Linked DNA regions of Ovis aries. The protein of the gene in region 1 interacts with the protein of each later gene in a pairwise test. Links are inferred from orthologs where the notes say so. Each region holds a gene or a part of one and is shown on either strand. Other genes may lie near its edges.

Region 1 (5,204 bases):
TGGTGCTTCAACCTCTCTGCTAACTGAATGCCTCTAAGACGTGGAGAGGAAAAAAAAGTTCAAGTACGCTGAATGCAACTTTGCAATGAAATCAACAACAAAAGAAACAAAACGGAAACGGGAACAAAATGCCACACGGATGACCCGCTGTCTGTCTTTGCACCAGCAATCATGTTTCTTTCCATGTCCAAAGGGGAAGTATAGAGGTGGGAATTAAGATCCTTGTGTGCCATCAAAATGGTTACAGATCTCTGCTTTTAGGAATGTTGTCATAGGGATTTCTGCGGAAGGGGATGTGTCTTTGAGTCCCCGGAGGGGAACCCAGAGAGTATCGGATACAGGACAGCAACCTGATTGGGGGGCAGGAGGGGAGGGGGCACAGGAGAAGGAAGGAGGCCTCTACTCTGTATGATTTGCATAAACCAATCCATCTACCCCCTCGGGAACAATTTTTCAAAGTGCTTTTCGAATGGAATGGTTTATACCAACGCTCACCTGTGGACCAGACATGCCAATCAGCACCAAAAAAAAAAATCACGTTTTTTTTTTTTTCCTAATGAGGGATGCCAAGGTCACATTACTCTCTTGAACACCTCAGGAGAAAAAAAAAAAAAGTTCCAGATCCCACCCTGGGGCTCCGTCTGCCTCCATTTCACAGAGTTTGGGGGATGGCCCATAGCTAGATTGCCCCTTTAAGATAAAAATGGGGTGGTGTCTGCAACGAACCGAGTTTGGAAGAAGAAGCAAGGTATAGAAAAACATGAAACCCAGGATCCAATCACCTGTGTCCAACGGGCAAAACAGAACATCTCTTTTAGGTAGCAGCTACGGCAGGCAGCAAGACTTGTCACTAGAGACCCAGCATTGCTTAGCAACAAACAGGTGGTTGGGAGTTAGGCGCTTCTCCACCCAAAATGGTTCGATTGCGCTGAGATCGTTTGTCACTCCCTCCCCATCCTGTCCCTCCTTGATTCCTAATTCCTTCTCAAGTTCATTGCTTCACAATCCAATCCTGCCATACGTGGCATCCGCAGTTCTTCCAAATTATCCAACAGGGGTATATACGTGCTAGTTCATAACATGAAAAAAAAGAGTCTCTAATTTGTTCCCATAGTGCAGGCGTACATTTTTCTCTAGCTACTCTGCAGGTTTTCCTGTAAGCATATTACTATGACTTTTAACATCATCAAACAGTAACTTGGCATATATAAGGGATTCCCTTCTGTTGTACTTCAAATAGGCACCAAATGCTTGTAATGATTTTGTTTTTATAGGACCTTTATCTCTCACTTCTAAAAGATCTTTCAATAGGATCTAGGTGGGGGCAGAATTTTTTTTTTTTTAAGTTTCATCCTAAAATGTAAGAGAACCAAATACAACCAGAGAGAAGGAGAGAGCGGATTGGACGCACCCCTCCCATTGGGCCCGCCCCACATCCTCACAGGTCGATATCCCGAACATCCGTAGGGGTGCTGGCTTGGTCCAGCTCATCCTCCGACTTGGATCCGTCGCCCTGGTCCTGACGGTACTGCTGCAGGCTGTTCAGCAGCACCACCTCAATCTGCTCCTGGCAGGCTTTGAGGCAATCCTAGAAGAGAGAAGCATCGAGACCAGGGCCGTTAGCAAGGGCACCGGGACACAGCAATCAACAGAGAGCACGCACGATTCCAGCCCGCCTGACTCCACACGCCAGCAGGTGGTGGTGGTGTAGTCACCAGGTCATTTCCGCCTCTCGCGACCCCCTGGACTCCAGCCCGCCAGGCCCCTCTGTCCATGGGATCTCCCAGGCAAGAATCCTGGAGTGGGCTGCCATGTCCTTCTCTGCTTCCAGTAGAAAGAAAGTCAACATGGAAGGAGGTGCGTCTTCCTGGTGGCCGGGGAACCACTCCAAGCGGGGTCCACAGGCCAGCAGCATCTGCAGCATCCGCACCACCTGGAAGCTAGCTAGAAATGCGATTCTCAGCCCTCTCCGAACCAGCTGCATCTCAGGATGTGCATTTCATCAGAAGCCCGGGCAGCGCTGGCCAAGGCGAGGGGCCATTTGCGGCCATGCAGCACCTGGTAACTCAAGGGCCAGCGGGATGCTTCCTGCTTGGGGCCACTGCATGGTGAGTGTGAAAAGGGGAAGGTGAGCCCTCCAGACAGTGTGACAGAACTAGACGACCTGAAGGGCAGATATAAGCGAAAGGACTAAACTACACTGAGCCTCCCAGCCACTGCAACCGTACTCAGAAACAAGCAGATTCGCCTCTCCACTTGTTTACCATTTCTTTAACTCTCATAAAAAACACAACACAGAGTGTTTACAACGTTCTGGACACTTAAGCCGTCTAATTTGGGAGAAAGCAAAAAGAAAAAACTGCAGCACTGCTTTGAGATCAGTCTATATTTGGTAGGGAAGATTCAGGGTGTGTCAGCCCCACGCAGAAGCTCCTCTAAACTGGGCGACATTGACGCAGCAGGAATTCATGGGCGTCGTCAGGGTGGGACGGTGGCTGGCACTAGCAACCGGGGCGAGAGCTGAAGTAACTGCTCACAGCAGATACTGGGTAGGCCAAAGGTTCGTTCAGCTTTTCCTGTAAAATGTTGTGGAAAAATCTGAATGGACTTTTTGGCCAACTCAGCATCTCCCGACCTCTCTACTCATCAAGACTGGTTTCCTGGCACTCTCGTAAACGTATGGAAACTATGTGAACTCCACTCTGCCTGGGTCTTTTCAGAGTTTCATGTATGTTCCCCTTGTGTTTGCTCCACCACGCAATTTTCACTGCCCAGAGGTTGCAGTCTGCCAAGCACACAAGCATTATCTCTATTTTCCAAAGATCTAAAATAAAGTTGGAACTCCCAGGAAAGTTTCCATGCCCCCACATTTTCCTTTTGTATCTCTCGGCCACCGTACACTGTTAAACCACAGCTTTTTAGGAAAATTAACATCTGGACCGAGCGCTGAGAGCAGATACGAAATACCACTCAGAATGAGTGAAGAGGGACAGAGGGAGGTGGTATCTGCTGTCCCCACGACCAGACCTGTGGGCACCACTGAGTTATTCTCCTTCTCTGTCCTTGGTTTCCCCATTTGTAATGTAAGACTCAGGAGACGCTCACAGAGGGAGGATCAGTTGAGATGTCCAAATGAAGCTCTAATCGTTCATCACAAAGTGGAAGTCTTGGAATCTGAACAAATTCCTGAGGTTTCTCTGAAATGAGGTACGAGTGAGCATTTGCTCAAGACAGGTGAGGGGCACAGAGGAACGCGCACCAGGGATGGAGCGTCCAGCAGGGATGCAGACTCTTTGCGAACCCACGGACTGCAGCACGCCAGGCTTCCCCGTCCTTCGCCATCTCCTGGAGTTTGCTCAAAGTCATGTCCATTGAGGTGGTGATGCCAACCAACCATCGCATCCTCTGTTGCCCCTTCCTCCTCCTGCCCTCAGTCTTTCCCAGCATCAGGGTCTTTTCCAATGAGTTCACTCTTTGCATCAGGTTAACAAGGCAAAAACTGACAACAGTCAACACTGCTCTGGCTGGTCCCCTACGAAGCTCTCCACCAACCCTGTCGACTTTCCTTCCTCCAAGACTCTGTTTCTGTGTCAACACAACTGCTACCCAACAATACGATGAACCCAGGATGCCATGACCATTTCTGCATTAGCCACACCAGCGGCTGAGATGGGTGGTCCTCTGAACATGGGGATGGGGCTCCAGAGAGCTAAGCAGCTTGATAGGGGGTCATGGACAGTCTCCCTGCAGGTCACCCAGGTGCCTGATCTTCCTGGTATTCAGGCTTCCCTCCCAGCAGCCTGAGACCCTAAAAGGAAAGTTCTGAGAAAGTCCTTCGGGGCGGGCTGGTACACCGGGCAGTCACTTCTACAGGACTTCAAGATAACACAGGCATCGAACATCACAAGTACATTAACTTGCAGCCCCAAACCTTCAAGCTTTCCTGAATAAAATGAAGAAAGATATCACACAAAACACAGACTCTCCTTCCTTCAGTCAATGTAAATCATTTTTGACAGTGACCAGCTCTTCCTCTTTGATACTTCTTGCTTCGAGAGAAAAGGAAGGACCGTAGCAGTTGCTGCAGAAATGAGGATGGAGCAGGAAGCAAAGGCTCTCAGCAGCCAATTTTCTCTCCCATTCCTGGGAAGCACTCTGAGGTCCAAGTCTAACCCTCCTCTGGTTCCACTGCTGACAGCATCCAAGTTTTAACTGTGGGATCTGTTGCTATTGGTGGGATGAAAACCTACCTGAGGGCAAGAGCTCATTTTGCATAAAGGATGCTGAAGTTCTCTGCTGGAGGCACAAAGGTAAGAAATCAGCCTCCTTCTTCCTGGAGAACAGAGCTCATGCCTTGCATTTCTTTCCTATAATTTTTTTTGGCCGCAGTATGTGGGATCTTAAGTTACCAGACTGAGGATAGAACCGGTGCTCTCCACAGTGGAAGTGCAGAGTCTTAACCACTGGACCTCCAGGCAATTCCCCACTCCCTGCATTTTAACACCTTCCTTCAGCATCGCAGGAGCCCTTCCCCTCTGTGGAGTTCCTACGACTGTGAATTTCCTGTGAGCTGCTGGAAAGTGAGGCTGGAGGGAGGGTGGGCTGGTGCCCCTACCCGCAGCAGACTGGCACCCCCACCAAGGCCTGCCCAAAGGGCTCTCAATCTCCCCAGCAGGGACCAGGGTGGAGGGTGTGACTCCGAGGGAGGTGGCGGCCAAGCCTATAGACGGAAACAAACAAATAGATGGGGGAACAAGCTGTGGAGTCTGAAGGGAACAAGAGGCAAAGCTGGGGAAGAGTGACGGCAGTGTGTCTTCGGGTGGGGTTCTTAGGTGGACACAGGTAAATCCTTACAGAATCTGAGAATACGGGCTCTGGGGCAGGGGGAGCTGTAACAGCCAGTGGCCCTCACTTCCCAGCTTAGAGAACCGAATTAGAGCTGGCTCATCCCCCAGTCACATGTAGTCAGACGTTAACCCTGGTTTTCAGAGGGCAAGCTTCCTATTCCAGAACCCTCTTCCCTGTGCGACTCTCTGCTCCTTCCAGGCTCTAAGGAAAGACAGACCAGAGAATCTCCAGGAAAGGCAGACACAGCCCAGGAGCGGCCTGGAAACCGCCCCACCCCAACCCCACCGCAACAGCGCCTCGGATGCAAAGATGCCCCAGGGCCCTCTGCTCCTCAGCAGCCTCCAAAAGCACCAGCC
Region 2 (5,764 bases), on another chromosome or scaffold:
CTCATAAAATGTGTAAATAAGTCTCAGTCCTTATCCCTGAAGAGAGTGAGCAAAGGTTATTTATGGGCTTTGTCCACTGTGCTGTGTAACCCCTCTCTCTATGTGGTATGTGGCAGCTTGAGTAGACGCTATTGATCTTTTTAACCGTGTGGGTTCAGGGCAAGTCTTAAAACTCCTGCCCTTTAAACTCGGTCAGAGGTCATCTAGTGCCCTCCCCTCCCCTGTGTGCTGAGACTTGGAGCTGTGGGCTTCACTCACTGTGAGAGGTGGAGTGGGGACAGGTAGGTATGGTGTGGGTCCAGGGCTGCTTGCCCCAGGAGGACCCTCAGCAGGGCTTTCACCTTCAGAGCCTGCAAATCAGGACGTGTCCCCAGGAAAACCCAGTCCCTGTTAAAGTCATGCAGGTGCTCAGACCTGGAGTCAAGCCAGAGCCGGGCAGGGAGGTGCCAGCACCCCCTCATGGGCAGGCTCACCTTCAGTGTTCCCTCTCCTTTAGTTTTCCCTCTCCCACTTTAGTGGGAGGAGAGGAGCCAGGTAGACCGGTGCCTTTAATTTTCTTTGCCTGCAAAACGGGTTCCTTGGATGCAGGCAGAATGGGGCAGGGGCTTCCAGGTTGTCTAGACTTCAGGTCACCTGATGTACCTGGCAGGATGTGGCTCAGCCTGGGAGAAATCATTGCTCTGCCCTGCCCTGCCTGGCTCCTCCTTACCCGCAGGCTGCCTGCCTGATGACATCCTTGGGAAAGGCCCTCAGCCCACAACACCTGTCAGCTGCTGTCTGAAGGAGGCGGTGGCCCAGGTGGAGTGATGGGGAGGAGTCAGCCAGAACTAAAGGCAGAGAGAAATAATATTCTCCAAACACTTTCTCTGTACTTGGTACGGCTCAGAGGGCGTTATCTACAACCGCTTAGCGAATTCTCACATCTGGCCTCTGAGACAGTCGCTGTTGTTATCTCCTTCTAGAAATGACACCAGAAATAGATGTCCCTTTCATCATAGGCGACTGGAATGTAAAAGTAGGAACTCAGGAGGTACCTGGAGTTACAGGCAAGTTTAGCCTTGGAGTACAAAGTGAAGCAGGGCAAATGGAGTTTTGCCAAGGGAACGCACTAGTTACAGCAAACACCCTCGTCCAACATACACAAGAGACAACTCTACACATGGAAATCTCCATCTTATACAGGAGGAAAACAGAACCCAGAGAAGTTAAGCCACTTGTCGAAGGTTGCCCAGCAGAGCCTGGATTCCAACCCAAGTGGCCTGGTTCCAAAGCCCTCACCTTGAACCACCAAGATACAGCCGTTGAACTCTGCTCCATCTGCCTTGCCTGGCGGGGCCCGCCAATCATTTCCTTGAGCCTGCGTCTACAGCCCCACTCTTTAGACATGTATGCAGTCCCATTTTACAGATGAGGAAACTGAGGCCGGGGGACTTGAAGTGACTCTTTGAAAGTTGAGGTAGGAAGTGGCAGAGCGAGGACTAGAACCCAGGTGCTTTTAACCCCAAAATCCAGAGTAGTTTTAAGTCACTGAGCAGGATTACTCCACATGAGCATCTAGATGGAGGGATTTGAGAGGAGGCATCCATTTTCTTGGGAATTGACCTCCCCGGCCAGGCCTGGAGTTAGGAAACTGCTGGACTCTGACAATTCACACATACCTGGGGGCATTCACACCCATGAGGGACACCTCAGTGGGAAAAACAAATTGATTTTAGCTGATAACACCCAGTGGTAAACAGGACCCTGATCCCTGCTATTGCAATAAACTTGCCTTTGTTGACATAAACTTGCCCTTCAGCTGCCCACTCCCCCAGTGACCTGGGGGTGTCAGGCTGACTGACTCTGCCCCTCACACCCTTTCTGTGGGTGGAGGTTGGGAGAGCCTGTGGGAGGAACCCGAGAGCCCCTCTCACCTCACTTTCTAGTAAGGAGACTGCGCCTGAGGTTACGCAGTGGCATGGCCCAGAGAGGGAGCGTCCGACTTCCTGAGTGTCTCACGTGCCCCGGGTCTTCCTTGTGTTCCAGCCACAGGTGCCATGTCTGAGCCGTCCAGGGACGCGCATCAGATCCCCCGCAGCAGCAAGGCCTGCCGCTGCCTCTTTGGTCCAGTGGACAGCGAGCAGCTGCGCCAGGACTGCGACGCCCTCATGGCCAGCTGCGTGCAGGAGGCCCGAGAGCGATGGAACTTCGACTTTGTCACCGAGACGCCCCTGGAGGGGGACTTTGCCTGGGAGCGTGTGAGGGGCCTCGGCCTGCCCAAGCTCTACCTGCCCGTGGGGCCCCGAGACGATGTGGGAGGGGGCAAGCGGCCGAGCCCCTCATCCGCCCTGCTGCAGGGCACGTCTCAGGAGGACCACTTGGACCTGTCGCTGTCCTGCACCCTCGTGACTCGCTCCCCTGAGCGGCCCGAGGGGACCCCTGGTGGGCCTGGTCCCTCCCAGGGCCGGAAACGGCGCCAGACCAGCATGACAGGTGAGGACGGGAGCAGAGGTGGCGGCAAGGGATTAGGACTCCCAGAACTCACTGTGCCAGGGCTGACCTGTCTGGCCCAGCTTACTCATCGCTCTGAGGGGTGGGAAACAGGCCCAGAGAGGGGAAGTGGCTTGCCTGAGGTCACACAGCAAGTCTACTACCAAGACCAATTAGCTGACATTTATTTGGAACATTGACTATGTGCCAGGACCTTTGATAAGTGTCTAGATTTCTTTTAGTCCTTATAGTGATCTAATATCATAGGACATTCTTGGCATCCTTTTACAGGCAAAGGAACAGGACTCTGAGAGGTAGAATGGTTTGCCTTAGGTCCCACACTGAATTTACCATGGAGAGTAAATGAATGATAATTTCCTGGCTGCCTTATCCAAACCTAACTCGCCTTCCCCTTCATACATACACACCTTCACCTGCACTTCCTAGCCTATTTTTCTCTTTTTGGCACTTTTTAAACTATCAACAGCTACTTCCATATTTTGATATAGTCCATCTTCCCAAATAGAATCCTATCATCTCCACAAGAAAGAAATCTGTATCTCTCTTGTTCATAATTGAGTCCTCAGCACCTTGGATGGTGTGTGACACATAGTAGGTGCTTGAGGGAAATGGAATAAGTGAGGCTGGCAGTTGAACACTATGCCAGGCCTTCAGCCAACGTCTTTTTATTTTTTACTTTACAAATGTATTACTGTTATTATTTTGGCTGTACGGCTTGTGGGATCTTAATTCCCTGAGCAAGGACAGAACCCAGGCCACCTCTGTTGAGCGCAAGGAGTCTTAGCCACTGGACCACCAGGGAAGTCCCCACCAAGGTCTTTCCGGAAACATTTCATTTAATCCTCTGAGCATCGTACCAGCGTTATCCTCATTTTATAGGTGAGGAAATGGAAGCTTGGAGCAGTGCAGCCAAGAATCCCACAGCACATTTGCAGCTGGGTCAAAACTAACAATAATGATAATAATAATAACTAACCTTTATATGGCTCAGACATCATGCAGAACGCTCTCTGATATATCAGGCTCTGCAAAGAAGCAGATGCCCAGTACCGCTGGCCACATATCACTGCTGAGTGTTTGCCATGAGGAACTAAATTTTTCTATTAGTCTAATGCTAGTTAATTTAAACAGCCGCCTAGGGTTAGCGACCACTGCATTTGGGCAGCTTGGCTTAAAGCAGGCCCATGCATGTAAAGTCTGTTATTGATCACGTCTGTGAAGCGTGGGGGGATGTCCTGTATGTATGTAGCCCTCCGGGAGAGAGGCTAGAAGTTTCCAGAGTTCTTCCCTATACTTGGCAATGTGTCTCTCGGGCCCTGGGGAGGGGTCCCTGGCCCCTCTGCAGGTTGCACTGCGCAGGTGGCTCTGCTGGGCCCTCTTCCTCCTGACCTGGCTGACATCTGTTCTCTCCCCCCAGATTTCTACCACTCCAAACGCAGGCTGATCTGCTCCAAGAGGAAGCCCTAACCCCGCTGCTGGAAGCACGTCCTCGTGGAAACAGGGGCCCACTGCAGGCCTCTTCTGTACCTTTTGCCTTGGTCCTTCAGTTTGTGCGTCTTAATTATTATTTGTGTTTTAATTTAAACGCCTCCTCTTGTACATACCCTGCTTGCTGCCACCCTTCCCACACCCCCAGCCTCTGGAATTATTTAAAAAAGAAAAAAATTAGCAGAAAAAATAGGCTTATTAGATTGCTAGGTATTTTTATTATATGAACCGTTATTTAAACCCTCCTCATTCTTTGCTCGGAGAAGGCAATGGCACCCCACTCCAGCACTCTTGCCTGGAAAATCCCATGGGCGGAGCAGCCTGGTAGGCTGCAGTCCATGGGGTCGCTAAGAGCTGGACACGACTGAGCAACTTCACTTTCACTTTTCACTTTCATGCATTGGAGAAGGAAATGGCAACCCACTCCAGTGTTCTTGCCTGGAAAATCCCATGGGCGGAGCAGCCTGGTAGGCTGCAGTCCATGGGGTCGCTAAGAGCTGGACACGACTGAGCAACTTCACTTTCACTTTTCACTTTCATGCATTGGAGAAGGAAATGGCAACCCACTCCAGTGTTCTTGCCTGGGGAATCCCAGGGACGGGGGAGCCTGGTGGGCTGCCATCTATGGGGTCACACAGAGTCGGACACGACTGAAGTGACTTAGCAGCAGCAGCAGCATCCTTTGCTTTCCTCGTCCTCGCTCCTCTGAGGCTGGCGTGACCCCCATCCTCTGGGTGGCACTCTCTGGAGGGGCCTGGTTCCCTCCCCCCTGCCATCTGATGGGTGTTACGAAGTCTCGCCCCCTCTTTCCTGCATTCTCAGACCTGAATTCCTTACAATCTGAGAAGTAAATAGATAGCACTTTGAAGGGGGCCCAACAGAGTTGGAGGCATCATCAAAACTTTGGGTTCCCCTTGCCCCTCTAAGGTTGGGCAGGGTGACCCTGAAGTGGGCACAGCCTGGAAATGGGGCTGCGGGATTGGACACCCTTCTGGCCCTTGATTCCCACCTCCGTCCTGTGAAGGCATGGGGAAGGTAGGGGCCCGTAGCAAACCACCCCTGCCTCCCACCCCCCCACCCCCATCCTCAGGGGAGCCAATCTCAGTGTTTGGCTTCCCTGTCCCCTGCATTTTTCCAGGAGCCCCAGAGGCCCCTGTTTCCCAGCCAGGCTCTCAGTCCCTCTCTGCTCCTCTCCCTTCCTCCATGCCCTTTCCCTTTAGTATCTTCTCAGCCCTGGGTGGCAGCTCTGAGGGGGTGCCCTAACCCCCAACTCAGTGGACTGGTGGAGGAAAGGACATGCTAGACATAGGGTTCCCCAGTTCTACCTCAAGCAGCGACTGCCCCCTGCTCTTAGCTCTTGGGGTGGGGGGTCCTGGGTGGTCAGGCAGGCCTCCTTGAATGGGGATCTCTCTGTGTTAGGGGTAGGTGGGTGAGGAGCAGATTTTTCCAGGAGGGACAGTGTGACACCAGCCCCTGGAACTCGTCCAAGGACTTTTTCCATTGGCCCCACCCCTTCCCCCATTTCATTGCACTTTGAATAACAGCTGAAGGAGTCAGATGGCGGGAACAGAGGCTGTGGATAGGATATGCTAAGTGGGCAAATATGGGTCTGGGAGCTGTGAGTCATTGTCTTTCCTGGCGCGGAACCTCTTGGTGGGCCTGAGCCCAGATGCCTTCCAGCTCCTGTAGCATCCTGGCCTGGACTGTTTTCTCCTGGCTCCCATACGTCCTGTTTCTTCTGTCTCCACCTAGACTGGAAGCCCCTCAAGGGCAGGGAGTAAGTCCT

What was found.
Region 2: the proteins of CCND2 (region 1) and CDKN1A interact in binary tests that used the Homo sapiens proteins (3 or more experiments, as listed by UniProt). The link is inferred for Ovis aries from reciprocal best matches to the Homo sapiens genes CCND2 and CDKN1A.

The regions. Positions count from the first base shown.
Region 1 is NC_056056.1:211,596,837-211,602,040, forward strand, and holds the end of CCND2 (G1/S-specific cyclin-D2), read right to left. Parts: exon of another isoform or gene 2,369-5,204; intron 1,589-2,368; coding exon 1,439-1,588; downstream 1-1,438. UniProt on the Homo sapiens protein: Regulatory component of the cyclin D2-CDK4 (DC) complex that phosphorylates and inhibits members of the retinoblastoma (RB) protein family including RB1 and regulates the cell-cycle during G(1)/S transition.
Region 2 is NC_056073.1:10,679,040-10,684,803, forward strand, and holds CDKN1A (cyclin-dependent kinase inhibitor 1), read left to right. Parts: upstream 1-2,036; coding exon 2,037-2,472; coding exon of another isoform or gene 2,473-2,669; exon of another isoform or gene 2,670-3,907; coding exon 3,908-3,957; downstream 3,958-5,764. UniProt on the Homo sapiens protein: Plays an important role in controlling cell cycle progression and DNA damage-induced G2 arrest. Involved in p53/TP53 mediated inhibition of cellular proliferation in response to DNA damage.